2 linked regions of the Drosophila melanogaster genome follow. The protein of the gene in region 2 interacts with the protein of the main gene of each other region in a pairwise test. Each region holds a gene or a part of one and is shown on either strand. Other genes may lie near its edges.

Region 1 (6,467 bases), on a different chromosome or scaffold from region 2:
GTTTGTTATTCTTAAAACTTGCGCCTGATTCCGCTTGGCTGGTTTTGGTGTCTGCTTGAGTTTTAGTTGCTGTCTGCATTTCGTTTTTGGTTTCCGGTCCTGTCGCCTGTTTTTGGACGCATTTCCTGGTCGATGTGTTGCTCTACCTATTAAACTTGGGTATACGTAGAAATAGTGAATTTCTACTTGTAATTTTTTCAGCTTAGGTTGAATGTGTCCCTTAGCTCAATAATTAGCAAACTTCTTTAGTGTTTTTGTTTATCTGAACACAGAACACAGTTTGGGGCTTTAGTGTTTTTCCAGTACGACTTTACAAGTTTCCATCGATAAGGTCACAGCTCCAAGTCGACGGATAAAGAAAACATTTCGCCACCAGTTTTGAACAGATGTCGAGGCCGCGGTGACTCTGGCTTTTGACGGTATGTTCCGAATCATTCAAAATTCGATATGTCGGCTAGCTACACACGCCTGTTCCGCGTTTTGTTCGTGATAATTTTCATCAAGTTACTCCTCCTTTTGGGACTCCTTTTGGACAGCTACGATGGTGCTGCCCGGCTTCAGAGGCGGTCGAATGTGGATATATTTGATGAACTACTCGTAGATCGGAGGCAAAGTAAGAAAAACTTCCAATTAGGAAAAGCTTTCGCTGGGGTCAGAGTGTATTAAAAGTGTGTCAATATCAGAATGTACATTTAAGGAGCCCACCTACCATTTTAGTGCCTTCTTGGGAGCAGCGATTGGAATGGATCCGCGAGGAAATGCATTCGTTTCCGCTGAAAGAGCTCCTGGCCAGAAAAAACAGACGATTGCCTTCAGTGAAGTGCGGCCCCGATATGATGAACATTGATTTTCATTGATAGCCCTCTGCCAGGCTATTGATGGCAATAGTCCCATCCACAGATCCCAAGTTCGTGGTATGTGTGAAGGCGAGGGATTTTCCAAAAACTGAGGCTTATTATATGCACCGCAAGTGCAAGTGCGTGTAACGCTGTATGCATGTATTTATGGCTTTTAAGCTGTGCCAAAGTTATTTAAATTACTGATATCTGGCTTCTTTGTGGGTTTATCATGTGATTATTTGGGCAAGCAATAAAAGAAAATGCTGTATTTTGGCACAATATTCTTCATGATTCCGTCTATGAGTTGCCTACAACAGCTGTTAAGTTTCCACGGTTGTCTGTTAAGTTGCCTGTCCCTCTGTTGCTCGATCGAGCAGGTCCTGGGAAATCCTTGTCGTTTGCTTCAGTCGGCCACGAACTGTTGGTCGGGTTGGAGGTGGACTCACCGACGCCACAACCGCCCTCTGATTGCCTTTTTGATGCATTGGGATGTTTGTATTTGATGTGTTGCTTTTTTGCGTAATGCAACTGCTAACGACTCTTTAAATATTTTACACGATTTAGCATTTCATAATGATAATACCCGCAATCCGCTTGCGGGGGGCATGCGTTTATGGTTCAATTTCAGTTTATGCATTCTCATAATGCTTGATGATTTCAGAATGCCGTGTTTGCATTTCAACTCCAAATGACTTTTTCAGAGCGATTCATTCGCTGGCAAAATGCAAAAATGCACATAGAATTTAATTTAATTTGCGCACACTCATGCACCATTTATCCACTTCTAATTAATTGCATTGCACAAGAACACAAAACGCAAAACATTTGAATGCGAATGTCTGAACGGACATGAACAAATATACAAATGTGAACAAAAACACGCTCAGAGCTAACTGAACTGAACTGAACAGGGCAAAAAGCGACACAAGATGAAAATATTCATTATTATTTGGCCAAATTGCGAATTAATGATATGAGCAAACAGGCAGGCCATAGTGTTGTTGGCATGCAAATTATGGCAGCGCGCAAAAACAAAAGCAATGCAATTTTTTAATTAAATGCTTTAGCTGTAATCCAGGAGCGCTTAGTGGAGTTCGGATTAGGCCATATACTCGCGAATCCGATCCCAGTGATGGGAAAAAATGCAGAATAGTACCGAAGTGGGACCGGACTTTTGTTACCAAAAGTCATTTTTCAGAGCAAAGTAAGTCTAGAAATATAAATCAGTTTTGGACGACACTTCGTTGTGAGAACAACCGGGTTTTAGTCAAATTTTATTTACAAAACCATTGCGATTTATTTGTTGATATATTTTGATTGACCTAAGCGGTATTCGGATATTCGCAGTGCGTTAGGTAAGTTGTGTAGACCCAATTCGTAGTGATTAATTATGGCATTAGAACTGTTCGTTGGGTTTCTCCTCCTTCGTCATCTTCGTTTACAAATAAGGTAGTGTGTTCCTTGTCGTATGTAGTATGTCTTGTCTGTCGGTCAGCTTAGATTTCATTGGCTGCCGCCGATTACTGGGAATCCCCGAAAGTATGCAAAAAGTTGGGCTAGAGCAATTGAGCGGATTGACGGTAGTGGGGATGGAGCTACCCCTGCTTAACCCCATCACCCGTCTAGTGCAACCGGCATACAAGAATACGAGGAACAAAGTTCAAACTAGCCAAACAAAACAAAACAGAACAGAGCTGAACTAAACTAAACAAAACAAAACAAAACAGAGCTAAACAAAACACACACAACGCAACAGGGAGCTGCTCATGTTTTTTGTTAATTAAAATTGGCATAGCAGCCGAGGGGAAAGGCAAGGACTGGGAACAACATTTTTGCATTTTCATCAGTTTTTCGAGGCAGCTAGCAGTCAGCAGCCGGCATTTGAACATTTCAACATTTCGGCATTTCAGCCAGCGACGATGGCTCACAGGTCATAGGTCACAGAAGGCGAGCACAGATGCCAATGTAGAGTAGTCCACCTTCCTTCAACTTCCTTCCCACTTCCAACGTTCAACTGAATGAGTGCCACTTCCTCGCTGTGTGCATATTTACCTTTAGAACATTTACTTTTTCAACAGACGACAACCGACCCGTTGAGGGCGAGTCCTCGATTTATGTGCTGCCAATAAATTTGCCCAACACTTTGGCCCCGTCTAATGCAATATTTACATCGCATCGGGCCAAATAAAAAATTGCATCGATAGGAACTGAGAAGGGCGAAACTGCTTTGCGGGAACTGAGAGAAATCCAAGGTGCCTTCTATTGTGGCTTTCGACTACTCCCATAAGTAAATTATTCATTGAAATGAATCTAGATCGCCAAAGTACAGTGACATAAAGATTCAAAAGCAGTTCATTACATGCTATAATCTAAACTACTGTCGCGATAAAATTTAGTTGATCTCTGTAATACTTTCGCTAAGTGCACCCGCACGTCTTGTAGTTTCTGTTTCTGTTTTGGCCCTGCTTTTCATTTTGATGTCATTTAAGTTAAAAGAGGAACATTTGGAAATGTCGGGTATGAGATCCCTAAACGGCTTTTAAGAAGGAAAACCTCCTGCAATGTGTTGCCTTTGTTGTTTCCCTAATTTGTATGGCAGAAGTGAAAGGAGATTCCCATATCTGTACAGTTCTTAGCCCATGCCAAGTGATACAAATGTACATATGAAGTCCATGGTTAAGGCACAGATATTCCATTAAAACAAAATCGGGTCAAATAAAATGGCCATAAACTGCTTGCCAAAAGCGTGAAAGCACAACACTCGCTCAAAGTCCAAGTCCGCTCAAACATTTGCCACGCCTTGGATTCTGTTTCTGATTCCAATTTCTGATTGATTTTTTCTCACTCATAAATTCGAGTCCTTTTGACCCCATTTTAACTTATGGCAGCCAGAGTCAAATCAAAGTTTGTTCTCCTGGTGGTTTACTTTTGTGATGCCATTACATAAAGATTCCTTCGTCCGCTGCATATCGTAAATGTAGAGAATTTTTAATGATTTTAAAAGATGCGTAAATACCAAGGCATCGTAATCTTTTCTATCGGAGATTTTGGCGTGTGAAAAACGCTTTTACTCGGTTATTTCCAAGGGGCAAGCACAACTTGACCCAGCTAATAAGAAATGCGTGCTGTGTTACCTTACACCCGTGTGTTTGGGGTTTTGCACCCACTCAAATCATTCAGTTCGGGGGGTGTGTAAATATTTGTTGCTAAAGTTGCCAACTTCTGCACACGTCCCTTGGTCTTGGTCAGTTTTTCCTTTCGTGCTTCCAAAGAAGAAATTTCCAGCTCACGTCTTAGAGAAAAGGGGCATGTTGGCTTGTTTGCCTCATTAGTCGGAAGTTCAGAAAGAGCGTTTGGCTTGGCTTTGTGGATTCATCATATATATAATTGTATAGGAAGCTACGAAAATGAAAGATCCCAAAAATCGCCATTATATTAACCCTTTTTTTTGTTAGATTTGTTTGTTTAAACATAGCGCTAACCTCGCCATTTCCGTATAACTCTACAGCCGTTGCTGACCTCGAACAAAGCCGCCATGCTTCCCAACAGCTTTTACAGGATGAGGGACTTTGCCAATCCGAGAACAATGTTTAAAAGCTGTGCGAACAACAATGAATATCCCACACAAGGTCCCCAAAAAGTGGAGTCACCAACTGATGTTACCCAGCCTGCTGCAGCTCCTCAATCCACTGAAGATACTCAACCAGAAAAGACCCAAGAACCGATGAATGATCCAAACAAAACGTCGCCATCAGAGCCCCAAAAACGTGGCAAGGGGAACCGGAAGGGCAAGAAGAATCAAAAGAATGCGCCACGCACTCCCAGTCAGACGAGCAAGAGCAGTCGAAGCAACAATCCGGGCAAAGATGGAAAGTCGACGGGAAATGATGACAATGAGAAGGGTAAAGGCCAAGGAAAACAGATGGTCCAGCAGAAAGAAAATAGCCCTGAACAGGAGCAGTCGACTAGTGCACAATATAGGAAGAATGTGCTCGACAAGGATCTGCAGGACAAGAAGCTAATCGAAAAGAATATGCAGGGAAAGATAATCACACAAGAAAATCTTTTAGGGCAGAAGGTCCTAATGCGGTTATCCGAGCAGAAGCTTTTGAGCTTGAGGCTCGAGCCCAGGATTAAACAGAACACATGTCCACCGGCCAAAAAAGAAGATGCGGTGGTCGCTTTTGACAATTCACTAGAATTTCTGTCACTGAACAATAAATGTGATGATGATCTGACCATCGCGGCGGAGAACGCCGAACTTTTGGAGGTCGAGGATCCTCAACATCCACTCAACAACTGCTGGACTCTGTGGTATCTAGAGAACGATCGAAATAAAAGTTGGGAAGAAATGCTGCACAAGGTTACAAGCTTCGATACCGTGGAGAAGTTTTGGAGCCTGATCACTCACATCAAGCCCCCATCCGAGCTTATGCTGGGCAGTGACTACTCCCTGTTCAAGAAGGGCATTCGACCCATGTGGGAGGATGAGGCCAATGTCAATGGAGGACGCTGGGTCATCAACTTGACCAAGAGCGCCAAGATGGCTCTGGACAGTTTCTGGATGGACGCCATGCTCTGTCTGATTGGAGAGGCCTGTAAGCACTCGGACGATCTTTGTGGCGTTGTGGTCAATATTCGCGGAAAGTCGAACAAGATCTCTATTTGGAACGCTGACGGGGGAAATCAGACTACAGTCCTTGAAATTGGACGCATTTTACGCAAGGTTCTACGCATGGACAACATATACGTGCTGGAGTATCAGTTGCACAAGGACTCCAAGGATAAACTGGGATCAACTGTGAAGAGAATATACACTGTATAGGTTCTCATCAGACAATTGCGAATCGAAACATTTTCAGTATTTTCGGTATTTTTTCACAAGAACTTGAAATGTCAAGCAGGTGTGATCAGCCATCGATCGATAGTTAGTTGGGTTCCAAATCTCTAGTCAAACCATCCGTACACGTACACGTTGTACATAAAAATTTGAATGTTGCTCCTATAGAGCGACGAAATAAATACATAACTATTTGGTCAAGAAGTTGTTTGTTTTAAAGTGTGAAATTGGAGAGTGTTGGAGAGAGACTGCGAAATGTTTCTAACTATGCACCTTCTTTACTAATTTAACCCGATTCCAAGAACATGCAACATGGTTTGTCTCGATTCCTGAGTTCCAATCGGTGTATTGGATGTTCTTTGTCTGCTCCACTGCTAACCATTGGGGCGGGCATTCAGAAGTTGGTTGCTAGCTTTTTGTTCGCTTTCACATCGGTCAGCGGACATGGGACATTTGGACATTGGACATTGGCCGTTGGACTTATTTGGCGCACGGCGTCACACAACTTGGCCGTGCTCAATTGTTTGATTTATTGGCATTTATTGGCAGTTGGCATTTTATTGTGACTGCTTTGGGTGACCACGTAAGGGGAGCCAATGATGTTGGAGTGGAGGCAGGTGCGTTCTCCTGGCACTGAATTCCTTTTGTTGCTGTTCTTGGCCACTTTTCCATTTGACGGGCTTTAATGTGCTTAATGTATTTTCTGTGCCTTGCTGTGACCATTTTCCTACCTTCTAATTTCTTCCTGAGCTTTTTTTAGCCACTCTTGCGAGGATTTACTATTTACC
Region 2 (5,700 bases):
TGCATGCTAAATCAAGCGAAATCTTTCTTTAAATTTGTTTGTTAATACCAAAATGCAGACATACTAAAGTGCTGAAATCTAAATGCCTATCATGGTTTTTCAATCCTATCATTTGACTTGCCATTTGTAAATCACGGAATTGTATATTGAAGCCTTGCATATGTTTTGCACAGTGCTGCAATGTCTGGTTGACTTCATTGAGGTTGAGGGGCAGGTGATGTTGATGCCACGTCTCGGTTAACTCGTTGTTCCGTTGACCTGCCCCTGTTGAAATTGCCTGTACGGATAGTTTGTGGTCTAGTCTTGTAATTAAGTCGAAGTTTCCCGTTTTAATGCATACTACTTTTAACCGTGCTGCTGGCCTGGCTAAATGACAAATCGTTGCGGGCGAGAAACTTTAGGTGCTGCGTGTGCAGGGGATTCATAAAAAAAAGATGACCAAATCCTTTGATTTGTGTGCGTGCCAATGCCAAATTGCTTAATCTCCCTTCGCACGAACACTTGACCCAATTTTTAATCACTTTCCAAGCACACATGCTCTCTTTTTGTCCGTCCCGGCATAAATTTGTGTCTTAAAACTTTCCACCTGGCCAAGGCAAAAGTTTGGCTTGCACGTTTTAAGCTGCCCCTGCAGAGTAACCGTCCGAAACAAGCTTAAAAATTGTGAATAAACCCAAACTGGCATAAACCGCACTTATTCCCAACTCCAAATTCGAGATGGAATATTAAGGCGAATTATTTGCTCTTAATTTGAAACGAAAAAATGATTTTCAAGATTTTTTTAAGCTTTTTTTTAGATCAAACTAAAACAAATAATGATTAAAAGTATCTAGAAAAGTTTTTCTTATTTAACTTATAATAATTATAATTCTTATAACACTGTTAAAATCTTTCATTCTTCTAATTAGTTTATTAAAGTGTAATTATTTTTTTTGCAGACGACCATCTCTAGTAGCATTTCGGATTTCCGCAATATGTGCTACAAAATATTCTAAACACACATTTGTCCAGCTCGAAAGGGAAACAAGGAGGCCAGGCCAATTGTGTGTGAGCTCTGTTCTCGGACTTTTTTGCTGTGTGGGGTGGGGGCGCAAAAGTTTCTAACAATAATAAGCAAATGCCCAAAAGTGAGCAGTGGGATCCAGTTGTTTTTGTCTCCACTGCTACAATTGCCAGCACTAAAAGTCCCCTTCAAAATGTATATACACGTATCCCTCTACCGTTGTATTTGCTGCAAATACAATTAAATATGGCAAAAGTTGTGCGTACACACACGTCGGCCATTTTATTTAGATTGCAGGAGGGCTAAAACAGAGGCGGTAACAGGAACAGAAGCAACGACAACGACAACATTGAGGTCGTCGTCGTGGGGCCCTCAAAAGTATTTGGCTAACTGAAAGAAAATATTTAAAAAACAAGAAATACTGTGTAATATGCGATATTGCCACGAAAATGGGTAATTTATTTACAGGATATTCAAAATGTAAGGTCTAGTTAATGCCGAAATTTCATAGCTTGAAGTGTGTGTGTTAAATATTTATTTGTCTTCGATTTACCTTAAATAGTGTATTAAAAGCTTAAGGGTAAGTATTTAGAATATGCTTAGGTATAATTTGTGAGCTTATAAGGAAATTGCCAAGCACTTCATTCAAAGGAAATTAGTTACGAGTAGGCCCAGACAAATCCTTCAAAACGGTTTATGTTGAGAAATTTCTTTGCTCAAAGTCTGTGTGTTAAATATTTATCTTCGCATGCTACGAATTTGTCTTAAATAGTGCATTAAAAGCTTTATGGTGAGTATTTAGAATACGCTTAGTTGTACTGTATTGAAAAGTACAAAAATCGGATTCGTTTTGCAGTGCACGTGTGCGTTGCTTTTTCTGCTAACAAGGCCAACACGTGTTTTTGTGTTGTGAGGCTCGGTCCGCAGAAAGCACAGCAATTCTGTTAACAATTTTATTATTAAAATGATGTCAGTGCCTCGGTTCGCTTGCCGCCCTCTTCCTGTGGCTCGGCAATTGACCACAAATGCATTAGTGGTGCGGATGCCCCAACTTTCACCTACATACTTCCCAAGGCGAATTACACAAAAATTTGCAGAGCTCCATGCCATGCATAGATAAATAGGAGAATGTGTGGACGCCAATCTCTGTGGTAATCCCCAGATGACCTACAAGTTGTCGGACACTGTTGTATTTTCGGTATTTTTGTACGGCTTATTTTCGGTGGGCTAATTGATTTAAACAATTTATCATACTTTTATCCTTTTTTTTTGCTGCATTACTTAATTTTTTAATAACATGATGTTTAATGTAGCTCGCTAAAGGCGATAGATTTTACAAGAGAAATAAATTAATTAAATAGAATAGACTGAATGCAAGTGACACTTTTTTCTTCAAAGAGCTACATCACTTGTTATTTACCCCCTACACTCATCGAAGCTTGCTATATTTCCATTTTTATGCGATTTGCACCCTTGTCTGGATTTGCTCAGCTTTAGGCTATCGAAAACGCAAGTGGATAACTCCCTCCGCTCCTTTTAGCCCCGCCAAACAACCTGATTATATAGCCAACCGTTCACAGCTCCTGAGCAGTTATTACGTTTTACTTATTGCATTTTTCAGCTCTTTGCATTTTCGCTCAAGCTTGCAAAACGATACACGAGCGGGAATGGAAATGGAATAGAAATAGGATGGGATGGGATGGGTCGGGTTGGGTTGGTAACGAGGATTCAAGGAGCCCCAGCATGTGGCTCACATGACATCTGGCCAAGGGGGTGATCACTGCTGTTGCCGAGAGGGGGTAGGTGGGGGGTCCACCAAGGACGAACTCCTGCGGAGCTAAGCTCACTGCACTTGGCCATTGTTTGTTTGTTTTTACAACTCTGATTGAGGTGAAATTGCATATTTCTGTGCGCTTCTTTCATTTCATTTTATTTCTCCGTCTGCAGCTCCTCCTCACTATTTCTGTAATATTTTCAAACGTTTTATTGAATGTCGCTTACCGACAGCACTGTTTGCCATTCCTGGCTTTTCCTTTTGCCAGGTACCCATTTTTAGATTCATCTCCACATTTCCTCGTTCCATGCACCTATTTTACCAGTGTTTTCCCCGCCTGCATTGGCTTTGTGTTTATTGTGCGAATAAATGTCAACAATGGAGAAATGTACGTGGATTGCCGACCGATTTAGAATCTCCACCTTCTCGATCGGAATTCTTTTGGCGAGTTTATAAAGATTGCCAAGCACTTTAATCCAAAAAATAAATATCAAATAATCACATATCATTCAATTTGTAATAGGGTGAAACGTCTGAGAACTCAGAATCCAGTGGGCCTAGACAAATTGTTCCAAACACTTTATGTCGAGAAGGTCTAATCGTACTCATAAATATACAGGTACTGGTCTGAAACATTTATTACAAAAAATTCAAAAAACAAAAATATAGCGAAGAAGGATAAAGACCATGTACAACAATATTAAGGGCCTACACATAAATGAATACCAGAGGGAGAATGGAGATAATACCAGAAAGCTGGCGTGTGAAGGTACAGTGAAGCTAAACGCCAATGCCCAAGAATTTGTGCCACGTTACAAGAGGGAACAACCAGCAAAAGATGATGCTATAGTTGGTAACAGTAACATGAGCAACACCAATAACGACGACCAAAAACCAAAATCTAACCTTATGTTGCCGTGGAAAGGATTTCCGAATAAATCTCAAAAACGTAAAGTTCTGCAAATAGAGGTCGCAAGAACATTGCTTATATATTTTATCTCCTGTTTCAGCTTCTCGCAATGTGGACTACATAGTTCTACCGAGCACCAAAAGATTTAAAAAGCCCATTGGCCAACAACTCGTGGAAAATGTTTCCACTACGCCCTCAAAAGTCCATTTAAATGATCCTGTTCCAGCTGGAAATCGCATTGATCACGAGGAAAGGCGCCGCGAACACGATAGAAAAATCGCTGTGGAAGCCTTAAAGTTGGCCGAACAGCGTAGAATGAGGGATCCTGTCATTGCCCCCACGGAGGGCAATGAAAACTCAAAGAACGTGCCGCCAATTATAAATATCTCACGATCTCCAATAAAGTTCACGCCAAATGAAAGGATCAGAGTGGACCGTTTAAGGGCAGCGAAGAGAGAGCGTATCGAGCGTATCCTTCGCGAAATGACAAACAGCAAGCAGTCGCAAGTGAAGAAAGAGCAGCTCAAGGAGGAGAAGATTTGTTTTGATAATGCACCCAATGAATCTAATAAGCCTAATGAACCTGCTAAACCTATGCCTCAGCATCCGGAGAAGACAAATGAAGTGCCCATAGTTACCAAAAAGAGGTACATACCAACCACCAAGGAATGGGACGAGCGATGTCGTGCCAAACATTTGGCTAAGATGGAAGCTGAAAAGAAAAATCAGATGGGTGTTCAGGATGCGAACCCTTCGCAATCTGCTGTGCCACCAAAACCATTGGTGACCTCCAATGTGGTGAACATATCTCCGTCGGGAGTTATTCGTCTGTGCGATCGCTTTAGTCCACCTGCTAAACAATGCGATACGGAGAAGCGCAGGGGAAATCTCACACACTTCCGACCCCTTCAAAACTGGACAATCCGTCGAAATCCGCCGGTACCATTGAACAACCTGTGCAATAAAAATGGAAAGATCGTGCAGCGCTATAGCATCGACCAACTGCTGGTTTTGGAGCCTCAACCTGAAGAACTGAAAGTGCCTCAATTGGATAAGGCCCTGTTAGGCTTGGGATTTCTGTACGATTCATTTGAGGGCTCTCCATAAATGTATTCGAATTTAATCTGAACTTATTGATTAAAAAACATTTTATCATTTTCCAATCACTTCCCTTGAATGTCTGAAATAAAGAAAAGACTGCAATGCGTATTTCAAGTTTGCAAAGCTAACTTTTGGTAAAATCTGTAAGATTTCTACTTTTATTACTGATGGCTATTACTGCACAAACGCGTTGGCATTTTTCAGCCTTTTGCACTTTGACCGTCGTAATTGAGAACTGAAATTTGCCATGTTATTGGTGTTGCTGTCAACTGCAACGGTCAGGTGCAATAATTTTAATGCCATTATTCTGCTTATTATTATCTTGCCTACTGTGCGCAGCTCGCTGCCTGTGCGCATATATTAAATTTCACTGAAAATTTGTTTTAATTTCATTAAACGGGAGAGGGAGCAATTTACACATCAGTAAAGAGTCCGCCGGTGCACTGAAATAAATTTTCCAGGACGAATCCCCTGCGGGCTCATGTAACCGAGGCCGAAGCGCAAAAATATTGACATGTGGCTATGGCAACGATTGCTGCTGGGTTTTCGCGGGGGGGGGGGGAGGTCGTAGGTCATGGGAATGGCCGCGAAATGGGGTGATGCGTAAAGGAGGGCGAGGGGGTCCAGTGGCAGTATCATATAACGCACAGACATTGCCCTTGTCATTTTTGCAGTTGTTGTGGCTCGGCCAGCACTGCGCAAATAAAGCGGAAAATTGTGTTTTTTTTCCCGACTTGTTTTCTGCGTGTTCGAAATAAAAAAACAATGAGTAAAACACAAAAAGTAGAACCAATCAAATGCATTTCACTGGTCGTGCGTGCGTCTGTGCATGTGTTAAAATGACCTTTGGCTTTTATTGTCGCCCGCTTTTTGCTGCACTTAACTTCCTCCAACTCGCACCAATTCTTTGAC

Evidence for each region.
Region 1: the proteins of CG6304 (region 2) and eIF4E7 interact in a two-hybrid assay, tested with the Drosophila melanogaster proteins (one large-scale study listed by BioGRID).

What each region holds. Positions count from the first base shown.
Region 1 is NC_004354.4:1,158,013-1,164,479, reverse strand, and holds eIF4E7 (eukaryotic translation initiation factor 4E7), read left to right. Parts: upstream 1-2,090; 5' UTR 2,091-2,194; intron 2,195-4,347; 5' UTR 4,348-4,374; coding exon 4,375-5,664; 3' UTR 5,665-5,881; downstream 5,882-6,467.
Region 2 is NT_033779.5:17,010,700-17,016,399, reverse strand, and holds CG6304 (uncharacterized protein), read left to right. Parts: upstream 1-1,699; 5' UTR 1,700-1,793; intron 1,794-3,265; exon of another isoform or gene 3,266-3,300; 5' UTR 3,301-3,464; coding exon 3,465-3,726; intron 3,727-3,787; coding exon 3,788-4,794; 3' UTR 4,795-4,924; downstream 4,925-5,700.